Linked DNA regions of Oreochromis niloticus. The protein of the gene in region 1 purifies or fractionates together with the protein of each later gene. This does not show direct contact. Links are inferred from orthologs where the notes say so. Each region holds a gene or a part of one and is shown in the gene's direction. Other genes may lie near its edges.

Region 1 (8,050 bases):
ATTTAACACAAAGTCACCCTCTACAGTGTAGGCAACAGAAAACAGCTACATTTTTTATTTTCCTTCTTTTTCTTCAGATTTAACCTGAGTTTAATTAGAATTTTAAAAAGTTAGACTAAAGTTTGTATTCCCATCTACTGATATTATATTATCATGATTTTAATATAGCAAAAGGTTCAGTTAGCTTTGTAGTAAACAGAAACGTCCTTCAAAGAACTACTTTTTACTTTCTTGCTTTGAGTACATTTCAGAGACTGTACTTTTTTACTTTTACTTGAGCAGAGGGTTCACCCAAAGTTGAATCAGTACTTCAACGTTTACTTCTACTGAGTAATTTTTAACAGTAGTAGTATATGTATTTCTACTTAAGTACAGAATGTCTGTATTTTTGCCACCTCTGGTCCCTACTGATTGCGAATTTCTGTCACACCTTTGTTAGATTCATCCGTGTTTTAATGCAAATAAAGCAAATAATGCAAATTTATATGCCTTTTTTCATTGTTTTTTCCAAACGCACTTGATTTATTGATATTTTTTATTTGAACTTGCAGTTAGTTACCACAATGAATTGTATGGTAACTAACAGCCACCAGTCTAGCACAGTGTTTTACTTTAAATTTGCCACAATATCACAAACCTGTTTATCACGATCTAAAATGCCAAGTATTTTCATACAAATTTTGAATAACACAATGTTGGTATGAGTCAGTTTGTTCCACAGGATGTTTTATAATATGAAATAAGCACAATTTTACATACAGATATGTAAATACCCGATTTACAAAATGAGGACATTATGTATTTAAATTTAAATTTACAGTCTATAAAATGTCATTGATCAGCATTAACCTTTAAATATGGTAAATGGCCTGTATTTATGTAGCGCTTTTCTGGTCCCTAAGGACCCCAAAGCGCTTTACATATCCAGTCATTCACCCATTCACACACTGGTGATGGCAAGCTACGTTGTAGCCACAGCCACCCTGGGGCGCACTGATAGAGGCGAGGCTGCCGGACACTGGCGCCACCGGGCCCTCTGACCACCACCAGTAGGCAACGGGTGAAGTGCCTTGCCCAAGGACACAACGACCGAGACTGTCCAAGCTGGGGCTCGAACCGGTAACCTTCCGATTACAAGGCGAACTCCCAACTCTTGAGCCACGATCGCCCAATATAACCTGTCTTCCTTTCCTGCCTCACATGTGAAGTTATCTGTCACTTTTCTCTCCCTGGGAAATGCATCAGCTGTACATTTAGCTAGCAGTCACATTGTGCAACAAACTGCACATAACCACACACAGAGTGTGTGTTTTTACTGATCTTTGTTGGACTGATAGAAACATTACATTTGAAATTACCTGCCACTCCAAAATAGTTACTCCCTTTATGCTTGTGCCTGTTCTGTAGCGTTAGCTAGATCATGAAGTACTGTAACTTTCCTCAAATGCATTAAATGCATTAAACAGTAACAAGTATCAAGCCTTTTTTAAATTTAAGGCATAGAAAGTACAGCCATTTGTGTAAAAATGTAGATAGTGGAGTAATGTAAAAGTTGTCAGAAAAATAAATAGTAAAACAAAGTACAGATACCTGAAAATTCTACTCAAGTATAGCAGTAAAGTACTTTTTACTTCCCACTACTGATGGGGACCAAGGATGACTACCCCTGGAAAAGGTAAATACAGTGCCTCATCCACAAACACATCCACAAAGAGATGGAGAATGAAAAGATGAGACAGAAACTGGCAGTGGGCAATGGGAAGACTGGGAAGCTGTGATAGTGCACCCCCTAATGGAAGCCTCCGGGCAACACACTGGGTTTGTAAGGAGGACACCTGTGGCTCATTGACCATAGTCCAGAATGGCAGACCCTGGAACCCAGATCTGAAAGCCAAGAGAACTGGACTGGACTGACTTAATCTGGGAAACACAGAAGTGTGGTGTGGTGGTCAGGGGGGTTATGATTAAGTTCGCAACAACGCCACCTAGGAGAATTTCACCCCTAGGAAATATAAAGATGAAGCATTTAAACAAAATAACCAAATGTCTGCACAGCTTCAAAAATGCACCACTGAAGCAGATTGGTTCCATTAAAATATTTAAATACCTTTAGTCCTTTAATACAGATTTTAAAATAATAAAAACCAGTTTTACATCCAAGATGCTGCACAACATAGAGACTGTGGGAAAGGACCCACCACCAAGAAGGTCCCACAGCTACTGGCTTATCTTCAGTCATGAAAATAAAAAGCAAGAATGTTAAAAATCACAAAAATATAATAGGACACTTGACATCAGACTCATACAAGAAAAACTACTAAAATCCACTCCAGGCATACAGTTTTAAAATGTCTTACACACACACACACGCTACAATAAAATACACAAGCCAAAGAGTCATATACACACTCCACAGGTGAACTGTCGCCTGTGCCAGTGACTGTTGATATAACAGGTAATCCTAGCTCAAACACAACAAAAAGGAATTCCCATTTAGCACTCTCTGTGGCGAGTGGAGCAAATCACTAAACAAGCTAGTACAAATAAACAAATGATGCAGGTAAAGTAGCAAGACACACGGACAAGAAGTAACTGTGGCAAAACAACGCAGGCAAGACAGGAGGAGTATAAACAAGACATTAGTTCCTCAAAGCACAGACCACAAAATAGTGGCTGCTGCATCTGCTGTGAATGCCTTCACAGCACTGATCATTTCACACACTTTTTTGTCTCTATCCTGCAACTGCTGGTTCAGCTTTTTAATTTTTTCAGTCACATCCATCAGGAAAGCCAGATCAGCCACTCAGCATCACTTGGTAGTATGGTATCCTCTCCTCTCATCTTACGTTTGCTCAGCACTGGACCTCCGTGTGACTTTTGCACAAATAGCCTGCTGATGGATGATGCAGTGATAGTTCAAACATTTAGGAAAGTCTGGGTCCGCTTTGCCATGTGTAATAAATCTCGAGTGATGTCCTGTCATGGCTGCTGCTCCATCAGTTGTTACAGAAACCAGTTTTTCAATGGAAATCTTTTTTTCCAACAAGTACCGCTTCATTGCATTGTAAATGTCAACTTCCTTGGTTTCCAGTGGCAGCAATGTCAAAAATTCCTCCTTTGTGGAAAAGTCATCACCATGTGTGCACAGCTAGCTGTGCCGTATCACTGTAGTCCACAGACTCAACACGCTGAAGTAAATACCAGGAGCACCTGTTAAGGTCCAAATCTAGCTTTCTCTCTGCATCTGCTGACAGTGTTCAAGCCAAGCTGGACATTAGCGATAGCAGAAAGAATCTCAGTCTTATTTTCGCAATGATTCTGCCATGGTGGCCATTGCCTCTTTAATGATCCCGACATTAATGAAGGGTTTTTTGTGCTTGGTGAGGATGTGCACCACTTTAAATGATGCCTCGGTTGATGCGCTAGCATTCTTTGGCTGTTTAGATTGTTGTTTTTGGAGGATAGTTTTCAGTTCTTTTACCTTTTCTTTGCAGAGGTTGCTTCCCACTGCAAAGTCCTGGGAAAAGTTGCTGTGAACTTTGGTGAAATGCTGCTCCACGTTGCATTTTTTTAGAGACACCAAGGCTCGCGCCACAGATCACACACACATTTGTGGGAAAAAAAGTTGTTTCCCACTCCTCAAGAAAATAAATTTTTTGCCTCTTACTAGCATAACCAAACTCTGCTGCTATCATTGTTGCTAATAGCCTGGCACCTCGTCTGCCTGCTACCTCCATATGGCGTCTAACCGCTTCAATTGCAGACAGCAGCCCGGCACAAACTTTTGATTGACAGTTAGTTGACAAATAATTGTTTCATTTCAAGAGGGGTAGGGGTATCTTTAATTTTGATTGGATGGAAAGCTTGGCCAGTTTCGCCAACCTACAAATTATATTTCTTATTTTCTTGACCACTTTTGTTATTGACCCCTTTGGCAAGCTACTGAAAAAGGCCCCATTCGCAAGTGATGTGTTGGAGACTCCTGCTGTACTCTGAGCCCCTCCCATAGTAACTCTGGTACCGCCTAGTTACACCGTATTCATGTTTACACATTACTGTGCTCATTTTCTATATTACAAACAAAATATGAAGAAATAAGGATTGGTTTCATTATGGGCAAGAATTTTTCAAGTTAGACGTTTTTGGAAATAAACAGACATTTTAAGTTTAATCAAACTAAAACCAAATAATTTTTTATAATCTACAAACGATTAGTTAGCTCAAACAAAGTGGCCTTTCTTGTTTAGACAGTTCATATTGGTTTGCCTGTTGAACACAGCAACTCATTTAAGACTGATTTAAGATTTTCAAATTTATGCCACAGGTGCATCTACTAGGGGCTGAGGGGTAGCGCTGGTTTTTCACTCAGCCACTCAACTTGCTGTGAGCTTTTACCTTTAAACCAAAGTTTTCTTCTAAGTAAGTTGACCTTAAATCTTGTTGTGAGCTGCTGTTTTCAAGGCAAAAAAATAATAATGATCAAGAATTATGTTAAAAAGTTTATTAACTGCAACAATCAACATCAGTGACGAAAATCTACTTTCATATAGTCACTGCATAATACTGATATGATTACTTTGTTGTTAATTTATTCTTTAGTGAACTAAAAAAAAGTTAAATTTGTCTTTGGATATGGAGAACTGAAAGAAATGAAATTAAATGAGTTAACTCAAATAGTTAATTCAAAAAGAATTAGTGGTGGAACACTGTATCCATATTACAGTTATTGTCACCAGAGATGAGAGGTCACCAAGTGAATAGAAGAGAAAACATTAATCAAAAATAATAGTTACATGGAACGACTTAACTGCTCCCCAAAAATGTCTTCCATGATTTCTAAGTAACTGGTTAAAAATCATGTATGTCTAACAACATTCTTAAAATATTACAGATATTCTCCTGTCAACGTTGGCCCATACTGATCTCAGGTCTGCCCCGATTAGCTTTCAGCGCGGTTCCAACCACACGGTTGTCGTATGTTGATGACGTTGAGGTAATGGCCGCTCTCGCTGGGCCGTGCAGGGTGCTTTATTTTCATCGCTACAGCGGCTAAAAATAAAACCGTCTAATATTTATTGCAGACAGTAAAAAGTTTTATCCGCGGGAGAGTGCAGCTGAAAAGGTAGAGGCGCGGTCTTTATAGAGCTTCGTGTCGGCAAGGTGATTAAAAAATGTGTTGTTAGCTCCTAGCACAGTGTACTTGCTCTTTTAGCTTAGCTTCAGGGGAGGCTACATTGTTAACCGTAAGACGGCCAAGTGTACTGGTGCGAACGCTTCGTACTAAACCGGTACTGTCCACTTATTTGTATGGTTAAGCCAAGCGTTTATAATCGCTGAAGAAAACTATCCATAGGTTGGGGACACTTTACTCGTTATTAGCCTTGTCTTCGCGCCGCCAAGTTATGGGCCTTGTTGCGAACTAGCGCGACCCAGCCATTGTAAGTGTTACCAGTGACATTATGCTACAGGGAAACCTGTCTTTATAAACTTGAGCATGTTGTCTAATTATGTATACACATATAGTTGTACCATGGAGCAATATGGAGACTTATATACACGTAAAACTAAATGGTGGTTGTTAGTTAGCGTGTTATAGCTAACGTTTACTTTGCTGGTGAATTAGCAGCGCCGGAAACTATAATTTCATAAAACATATACTGCTGTGACCAACATCTAATTACGTCTCAATCTCAGGAAAGGTGTTATCAAAGTTAATAGAAATTAGTTTTTCTCCGTTCTTTGTGTCAGCAATCACCAAATGAACAAAAACAAGTATTTAGCGTTATGGTGTATGACAGTTATATATTACTATATAAATTAACTGTACCATCTTTCTTTCAGTTGGTAGCAGAATTAACATTTTTTTGTGGTGCATCATTTTAAATTTAATTTTTGATTCTAGACATTTTATTGGTTAATTTTGACTGTTTTTAACTGACTGTTTTTAAATCGATTATCAAATGGCACGTAGCATTAGATTGAACAGTGTTAAATTACTATCAGATTACTGGTGACATACAGTTGTCTTTTCTTTCTTTCTTTCTTTTGACAGATTGCTGTTTTGTTGTTGTTTTTTTTGCACCAGAGTGGATTCACATGGATACTCCTGAAAGCCCTACCCAGTCCCCTCAGTCTCCTGAGGAGGAGGAAAAGGGTCTTTCTGACAGTGAGTTGCTGGAGTCTCCTAATGAAGAGGAGGACAGGGTCATTTCAGACAGCGAGATCCTCAATGAAGAAGGGGACATAGAAGTGATGGAAGGGCATGGAAAACATGTGGAATTAGAGGAAGAGGAGGATGAGGTGGTGCCTGACTTTGTGTCGGAGCCAGAGGATGAGGAACCTTTTGGAGAAATGGGAGAGTTGGGACAGGATGATGAGAGCATTGTGCTTATGGAGGGGAATGAAGACAGTCCTCAGGTGGTGGAGGAGAGGGAAAGAAAGGAGGATGATGAGAGAGTTGTCAGCACTCCATTATCCCCAGACTCTGAGCCAGAAAATGCCAAGAGCCTCAGTGCTGGAAAAGATGGAGAAGACTGGAAGGAAGGATATGATGACTACATAAAAGCTGCCTCTGCAGAATGTGAGGTAGCTGAAGGGGATGATCAGGAGGAGGATTACAAAAACAAAGATGAAGAGGATGGAAGAATAAGAGATGAAGAGACAAGAAGAGCTGCTGTGCTAAGGGAAGTGAAGGATGACTCTGTGTCAGTTTCCCGGGAACTAGACGAACATGAGCTTGATTATGATGAGGAGGTCCCAGAGGAGCCTGGCATCCCTACGCACGAGGAGGAAGATGAGGAAGACACAAAAGTAGAGGGAGATGAAGATGAGGAGGAAAGCGAGGACAAAAGCAGTAAAAAGGAGAAAAAGTCAATCCTTCCACCATCTCCTAAACACAGCGAATCCAGGAGGACAGATGGGTCGAAAGGGCCGGAGAGGATACGCCAGGACTCCTTCAGAGACAAGAAGAAGGATGAGGATGATGGAGAAATTGATGAAGGAGAGATTGATGTAAGTTATTGTAGTTCAGTTGGTAGTAGTGCCGTCTGATTTGCTGAGTGCAGGTAAATTGTGTTGTGTTTGAAAATAAGCCTTTAATCAGGAAGCACTGCTACTGTGTTTTTGTTTTATTGATAAACCTTAAGAACAAATAGCCATTAAACATAAAGAGTGGTGTTAAATCTGAAAAAAAAAAAAATTCCAAGTGGACTGGACCTAATTTGGCTGGATGCTCTTTATGCTACTGGTGAGTGTGTTGAGTGTGTGTTACACTCTCATAATAGAGAAATAAGAATATGAAGCCTTGTAGTCTTAACATTTTCAGAACTCAAAGGTTTTTTCTTTCTTTTTGTGTTTGAGGTCCATATCTTTCTCATGAGTCACGTTTTAGCAGGCTTTCAATGCATGCTCTGTGTGAAGAGCAAAAGAGGGAAAACCAAAAAAAAACGTCCAAATAGAGTTAGTATTTGAGTTAAGTTAGTATTTGATTAATAGTTGACTTATATGTTCTTGCAAAATCTGAATAGAGCTGTGGATTAGAAAGCCCACAATACAAGTCCCTTTGCAATATAATACATATACTGATACGGTAATATCAGGCCAAGATACGGTAAGTTCTTGGCCCTGTAAAACCTATGCACAGATACTGTCAAATAACTAAAACTAGAAATATATTTTTAGTTTTGGATGTTTTATACTAGGGCTGTTCGATATAACGATATATATCGGATGACGATATAAAAATGTCTATCGTTTCATTTTACACTATCGTTTGTTTCGTGGTGTCGCAAAATAAACTGTTTACGGCAATATTTTTTTCACCGTTTTGATGGTCACTGTAGTGGCTATATTAATTTCTTAAAGTTCTCTCTTTCTCTTATATTTAATATAACCACACTACGGACGGACAAGCGCCTGTTTTTATGCGTTGTGGTTAGCAACAACGACGGTAAAACCACCTCGTGTCCGCTTGTTTATGTTCCACATAAACCTTTCACAATAAAGCTCAAGATCCTGTTGAGACTTTTCAAAATAAACTGAATCACGTGAA
Region 2 (7,768 bases), on another chromosome or scaffold:
GTCCCCGCCCCTCCCTGACCTGGTTCTGCCGGAGGTTTCTTCCTGTTAAAAGGGAGTTTTTCCTTCCCACTGTCGCCAAAGTGCTTGCTCATAGGGGGTCATATGATTGTTTTTCTCTGTACCTATGAAGTGCCTTGAGGTGACTTTTGTTGTGATTTGGTGTTATATAAATAAAATTGAATTGAAAATTGAATTGAATTAGAGAGGCCCCTTCACTGTCAACTTTTAAAACACGTCTTAAAACCTATTTATACTCCTTGGCATATGACACAGTATGACCCTGATTTTATTGTTTTAATCTAATGTGCTGATTTTATTGTTTTAAATGTTATTCTAATTACCATTTTATACTATTTTATTTATTTATTTATTTTTTTGCTATTTGTGGTTGAATTTTATTATTTTAAATGTCATTTTAATTATCATCTTTTTTATTTTTTTTATCTTTATTTATTTATTTATTTTTAACTTATTCAATGTATCATTTCTGGCATGTCAAGTGTACAGCACTTTGTGTTCAGCTGGGAGTTGTTCTGAAAGTGCTATATAAATAAATTGCTTGCTTGGTGTTCAGATTTAAGACATGAAATTTGAAGTGGGGGCTGCAGGAGGTGCCATTCCTGTAAATAAAGGAAAGCAAAGTCTGCTCCTCTTAAGGAAACTTGCTTGGCATTTAACATGCCTTGTTTGCGACAGCTTTCACAGGACCTTAGAAGCATTACTGTGATGAAAAAAAGTGGGAAAGGCTAGAAAAACTAAAGTGACCTGAATGTTCATCAGTCTACAATGAGCCAAATTGTCTGTAAATTAGGTGTAATTTAGGGCTGCTGCTCCTCTGCATTTGAGACATACTGCAGAGATCATCCCAAGGTTTCAATCCCAAAAGAGGTAGCAGCAAAACACCTGCAGACATCTCCACAAATAGGATGAAAACAGTAAGGAAACCACTGCACTCCAAAAAAACCTGCTCCTAACTATTAAGCGTGGAGGTGGTAGTCTCATGTTTTGCAACTGTGTTCTCGAGCCCATGACACCTTGCGACAGTTGAAGAAATAATGAAGTTAAATTGCATGAAGACATTTTGTCAGGACAGCAGTCCATAACCTGGAGCTTGCAAAGCAATAAGAATACGAGTTAATTAGCACCAGAAAACTGGAAGACAGTGAAACAACATTAAGGTTTTGATTAGGTTTGACACTAATCCAGCTGAGATCCTGAGGTAGGACCTTCAGAGAGATTTTTTGATCTTCACATCCTGGGAGTTTTGTATAGGAAGGAAGGCTCCACTGTTTCTCCTCAGCATTCTGCATGTTGCGTAAGCACTTATTGGCCATATCTGATTGTTGAAGGATGTTTCACAAGTTATGGAATTCAAGAGTTAATTTTTAACTCTTTCCAGCCTTTGCCATAACTTCTTAATGTGTTAAATTAAACAATGAAAAGCACAACTATGTGTGTTAATTAGCTTAGTCAGGTTGTATTCAAGTTGAGTGAAATCATCGTAATTCCAAATGATTCACAAACTCCCTTCTTGAAGCTGTGCATAGATTTTAGAAGGTCAGCTTGTCCTTCTTCCTGACACAGAAGTAAGAATGTCTCTCACTTTTGCATTGTTTGCATGTCTTTTGAGCTTGGCTAGATTAGGTTAGCAGGTGTGTTAAGAGAAGGGATATTTACATTATGATTAAATCTCTGCCAGACCCAGCAGATCTGTCAGAATGGTCCGCATCACGCATTACTCACTTTCCCTCTCTTTGAGGATTGTTTGATCATTGAAAGGCTGATTGCTCCAGCAACAAAGCCGAAACCCAGACTAAACTATCTACACAGATAATAATGCTTTGTTCTTTGGAGAACTCAAAATGTAACTACTGCATATGAAAAACCTTCAGGATCTGTTAAGAGGATGATGTCCTTGAACATACTGATTTGATTGACACACACTGGTTGTTTTTTTGTTGTTTTTTTGCTTTGACTATAACAATATGTGCTTTCACTTTATTTTTCCAGGTTCCAGGAGGTGCTGCTGAGTGGAGACCATGTGACCTCTGATGAAGATTAAAAGGCAAATGTGAGAGAAGAGTCAGCAAAGCTCCTGTTTTCCTTCTACCAGCTTTGCTTTTTATTCAATAAACCTGTGCATTTTGTGTTCATAAAACGCGATTGAAACATGTTCAGATGAAGTAAGTTGATCTCTTGGAATAATTTAATCCTTCACAATTTTGTCATTTTATTTCAACACTATTCAATAACTTTTACCCCAATACTACTTGGTCACTTAAATACTACATGTTGTCTTCATATTACATAATGTTCAACAAAGTCTAGATCCTGGTTACCATAAAAATTGAATGGGTCTACAGCAACTACCATCCTCCTATCATCTTTATCCTGGTTGCAGGGGGGCTGGGAAATAACCCTGAAGTGATAGGTTACGAGGCAGGGTACAACCTGGACAGCTCACCAGTCTATCACATAGAAACAAACAACCATTTGCACTTACATTCACGGGTAATTTAGAATCACCAGTTAACCCTAACTCTAATAACTGCATGACTTTTAACTGTGGGAGGAAACCAGAATACCCACAGAGAAACCACTGCAAACAAGCCAGAATGTAGATTTGAACCCAAGACCTTCTTACTGTGAAGCAACAGCACTAACCACCATGCCAACAATCTAGGAAATACAGGAAAACTATGATTTCCTGTATTTGATGCAGAATTTTTTTGTTTTTGTCCTTCACAGGTTAATCCACAATAAATAGCAATAGCATGCACGTGGTGTGTGTGTGTAGTTGTCTGCCTCTTATATCTCCAGTGATTTTCCTGCAGTTTGAAATCTCGTGCGATCTTGTGAATTTCATGAGTTCAGCAACTAACCACTCTGACTAGATTGTTTTATGTCATCTCAACAAGAACAAATTAAGTTGTTGAATTTCGTACAGATCCTTCATGATTTAATTACGTTCATAGAAACACGAAATTATGTTCAAATTACAAGTTAGACTTTTTTAATGTAACAACCACCCAATTTACTTTTTTCGGTATACCAAAAAAGTAGAGGCGGCTGCTCGACTTGACTGAGATGGATGCCTTCCTCAAACCACGATCCAAAGAGCACGGGACTGAAACCCGTGCAGTGTCGCGGGATTTAACATTGCTATATTATTGACTTACTTCACTTGAACATGATATGAACAATTTAATCTAGCCTCTCTGCATATCATGTAGTCTCTACACTATATAGTTACATTTAACTTTAAAGCATGAGACACTTGTTTTAAATACACGCAAGATGCTTACGTAAAACGCTGGCCAGTCCCTTTTTTTCAGTGTGTATTTGACTGTGGGCTCAATACGCTGTACCGTCTCTTCATCTCTTTTCTTAATTTCTTTAATTTTATAAAGCGGGTTTATTCACATCTGCACACTGTTTTTGTTATTTAGGGGGTTTTTTGTTCAGGAAATAATTTAGTGTGAAGTGGGAGTCAGGTCAGACTAGGATACGTTTTGTTTTTTTTGTTTTTTTAACAGTAAGAATTTGAATTATGTAATAAAATGTTTGTAAGTACTTTTGTTCTTTTAATTTCTTTTTTTTTTTTACTACTTGAAAACTACTTTAGCTAACCCCTAGTTATTTCTATTTTAATTTCAAGCAGGCTTGCAATTGTTTTTATGGTCTTCAGCAGTAGTTCTGCAGGCTTTCTGAAAGTGTTACTAGCATCCTCTTGCAAAAATGCAAATTTTGTTTTCACTCTTCTAATTGAAACTAGAAAGACCCAAAATGGAAGACTGTCATGTATTTACTTCGTCAGAGCCCAGGCCTCAACATTATTGAAGTGGTGCACAATCATCTTCACAGACAATGGAGCAAAAGGCAGCCAACATCCAAAAAAGAGAGCTCAGCTTCATTAATTAATAATAACTTTTTGTTAAGCATAAGATCAAAGTAAATTAATTCTCCCCCCCCCCCCCCCCCACACACACAGACACATTTTCTCAACATATATAACATATATAAAACAGTAAAATATTAACAAAATAAACTATTTAAAAAAATAGCAGAAGAAGAACGAAGGAAAAGAGGGGCACTGATACTTTAGTAGCCAATAATAATAAAAGTGCAGTAGCCAACAGCATGGCACCACATCTCACACAGCTCCAGCAGTCATGTGACTTACGACTCAGTTTAACAGTAGCAAGCTTTCAGTCTTTTTGTGTCCAGTTTGGACACAAGAAACAAAACGAACGACAAACTTTTAAAACTGTAATATTAATGAATAAAAACAATCTGTAATTTGGGAATAAAAGCCAAATTTGTTGTTTTATTTTTATTTATTTATTTTTGTTGACTTTGAGGTACTGTGACCTTTCATTAAAAAACATATTTTAGTATTATTTAAAAAAAAAAAAGTTGAAGTTCATGCGTGATTATGCCCTTGTACTTGTGTAATAGAAACAGGACTCAAAATAGTATTTTGATGCGTAATTAACATTTTTTAACATTTTTTTTTTAAGGTTTGGGGGTTTTATGATTTATGCAAATAGGTCTTTAAACTGTCACAGACAGTCTGCCTGCTGGTAACAGTGACTGTATCTTGGCAATGATTGAATATCAACCGATGACTGTACAAATCACTGTTATGTGTTTTCTACAGTCAGTGATACCAACAGGCGGCGCCATTAACCTGATATAGAAGTTGCTGTACCCGGACTTATTCAAAGGACGGACACATGAAACGGAAGCAACATCATCGCTTTTCCGGCATGCTCCTAGTTGAATAGCAGCAAAGCGCCTCACTGCGATTTTTTCACGATGTCTGTTAAACTAAACGCGCTAAACAGTGATTCTTACATTGACATTAGTCAATACAGAGACCAACACTTTAAGGTAAATGAGGAAGTGGTCTTTAGGAACGCGGTGACTTATCATGATTTACGGGAATGTAAATGTAATGTATCTTATAGCTAACTGTTAGCAAACAACAAAGGCGAGCGGTGCTGTGCAGTGGAGGTGACTCGGGAACAAACAGAACAGCAAAACATATCTCTGTATTTTAACCTGGCCTTAAAAAGTCCTGATGTTGTTTTATGATGCTTCGTTAGGACTAAAGCGTGGCTAACTTATAAATTAACTCCTTGCTTCAACACAGGTCGTTTGATCGCTATAATGTCAACTTCTTGAGAGCAATTTTTTTAAACATTTGTAACGTTGCTTGTGCTTTTAGGGTAATCGCTATGAACAGGAGAAGCTTCTGAAGCAGAGCAACACTTTGTATGTGGGCAATCTCTCCTTCTACACCACCGAGGAGCAGGTAAGACACAATACCTTCACCAGTTAAAGTAATAACCCGGCTTTATTGGAAAGTTGCTTAATTTTTTAAAATAAAATTCTTCAAAGAGACCAATATGATGGGGGAAATGGCTGACTGAGCTACTAATAGATTAGGAGACTCATTTATAAAACAGTACATGTCATCTGCCTGATAAACAAACATGTTTAGTCAAATATTGTCCTCTAGTTATGCCACCAAAACACCACTGGCATTACACATAAGCTTCAAGTGTTTATATGTTCAGAGCAATCACACAGATTCCACTGATGTGTTGTCTCAGTGGAAGTTTTAATAGGTGAATTTGATACATTTATGAATTTAAGCCTTTTTTGAATTATGAAAAAAAGCTTATTTTGATTGTAAAACGCGTCAGACTATAAATTTACAGTCCATATGTGCAGGTGTTGACTGCACATATAGACTGACTAGAGTAGGTAGGTAGGGCATGTGTGTGACAGGCGCAGCAGTGCACTCGATGTTGGGTGGCTGTAGTTCAGGAGTTGGAGCAGGTTATCTACTAATTGGAAGATTGTTGGTTTGCCAAAGTATCCTTGGGCAAGATGCTGAACCCCAAGTTGCTTTCTAATTGTGTGTGACTGTGAGGTAGAAAGTGCTTGTATGAATGGATGAGTGAGCCATGTTGTGTGCCTGAAAAAAGTCATGTAAAGAATGGCATTTTAGCTGTTCTGAGCTTCACAGCAGCTTGACACTTTCAGCGGCACTGCACTGAAGCTGTCTTTGTGTTCAAGGGTTGGAAAATTTGATGGAAAAAACTGAACGTCAATGTGTCGCACATAAAATATATGTCAAAAACACATAATAGACATATTTTCAGTGTTGATTTTTCTGATAGTTTATCACAAGAGAAGTCCCAGAGTTGGGAAATTCACTGCAGATATTTTGTTAAATTTTCTCAAGTTTTCTAACTTTTTTTGCCACTGTGAACAGGTACACGAGCTGTTTTCTAAAAGTGGAGATGTCAAGCGTATCATCATTGGCCTCGACAAAATCAAGAAGACTGCTTGTGGGTTCTGCTTTGTCGAGTATCCTTCAAAAATGTTTAATTCATGCTAAAAGAAACTGTCAGTAATTTGACTGCCTTCAGAATAGGGCTGGGCGATATGGCCTAAAATCCATATCGCGGTATAATTTGAAGCACGTGCGGTAACGATATATATCGCGATATATTCTTTTCTTCTGTATAACGTATTTTCCACACTATGAGGCGCACTTAAAATCCTTTAATTTTCTCAAAAATCGAGAGTGTGCCTTATGTATGAATTCTGGTTGAGCTTACTGACCTCGAACCTAGTTTCCACCTAAACATGACATATCATGTTCTGACTGAGAGATTTTTGAAGCTAATTAAAACGTACAGCTCTGCTACCAGTTCCAACATAAATGAAGACAGAAAACAAACAGCAGTGGCGTTTGCAGGGTTACTGAAGTTGGACTACCTGGTATATAATGTTGTGCTACGTGATTGCTAGCGACACAGCTATGTTAGCATAATATTAGCACAGTGAAGCTGGAGGATGAACGCCAACTTTTTTTCCACTCGATAAAAGTTAACGTGAGGGTTTCTGGTGGTTAGGGACAAAGGCAATCGCATGGCAGGATGCTATACACGGGCCAAACTTCAGTCAGGAGAACAACTGAGATAATCCATCCACAATACAAGGTTAGTTATTAATATACTGCAACAACATGGGAATAGAACAGCTGCGAGAGAATTCAGCATTAATGAATCAATGTTACGGAAGTGGAGGAAGCGCAGTTTTTGGCTTTCCCCATATTTCAAAAGTGCTTCATCTCTTTGCTATGACTGTCACCCGGCATAATTTGCAGATGATTATGGTTGTAGCCGCTGCGATGCTTTCGACCAAAACAGGCGCAGCTTGATGACATCATCAACATGCGCTATCGCGGTAGAGCGGTATAGTCAAAATCTCTATCATTGGCCAAATTTATGTCGTTTCTATCGTATATCGTTTCTATCGCCCACCCCTACTTCAGAATCACCTTCAGAAGTTACCAGAACATCATGAATTGCACGTGTTGTGCCTTAACGCTGTCCCAGATACTACACCCGTGCAGATGCAGAGCATGCCATGCGCTTCATTAATGGCACACGGCTGGATGACCGCATCATCAGGACAGACTGGGATGCCGGCTTCAAGGAGGGAAGACAGTTTGGTCGTGGCAAATCAGGAGGACAGGTGAGGGTTAGGATATGAGTACTTTAATAAATGGAAGCAACCTGCTGTGGATGCCGACTGCTGGTTTATTTATTTATTTTTATTGGAGCAAACTACAAAGCTAAAAGTTAGTTCTGTGAGTAACTGCACTCGTATTTGAATTAATCCAAAAAGATATTAACCCACGACTAAAGTAATGTTAAAGAACATTGTAGATGTCTCTGATCTGGGC

What was found.
Region 2: the proteins of zc3h18 (region 1) and ncbp2 purify together in Homo sapiens (co-immunoprecipitation; 3 studies listed by BioGRID and IntAct, with this or other methods). This does not show direct contact. The link is inferred for Oreochromis niloticus from reciprocal best matches to the Homo sapiens genes ZC3H18 and NCBP2.

The regions. Positions count from the first base shown.
Region 1 is NC_031972.2:38,979,191-38,987,240, reverse strand, and holds the start of zc3h18 (zinc finger CCCH domain-containing protein 18), read left to right. Parts: upstream 1-4,983; 5' UTR 4,984-5,122; exon of another isoform or gene 5,123-5,438; intron 5,439-6,052; 5' UTR 6,053-6,096; coding exon 6,097-7,011; intron 7,012-8,050.
Region 2 is NC_031981.2:31,413,952-31,421,719, reverse strand, and holds the start of ncbp2 (nuclear cap-binding protein subunit 2), read left to right. Parts: upstream 1-4,717; 5' UTR 4,718-4,818; coding exon 4,819-4,893; intron 4,894-5,230; coding exon 5,231-5,317; intron 5,318-6,286; coding exon 6,287-6,381; intron 6,382-7,418; coding exon 7,419-7,557; intron 7,558-7,768. UniProt on the Homo sapiens protein: Component of the cap-binding complex (CBC), which binds co-transcriptionally to the 5' cap of pre-mRNAs and is involved in various processes such as pre-mRNA splicing, translation regulation, nonsense-mediated mRNA decay, RNA-mediated gene silencing (RNAi) by microRNAs (miRNAs) and mRNA export.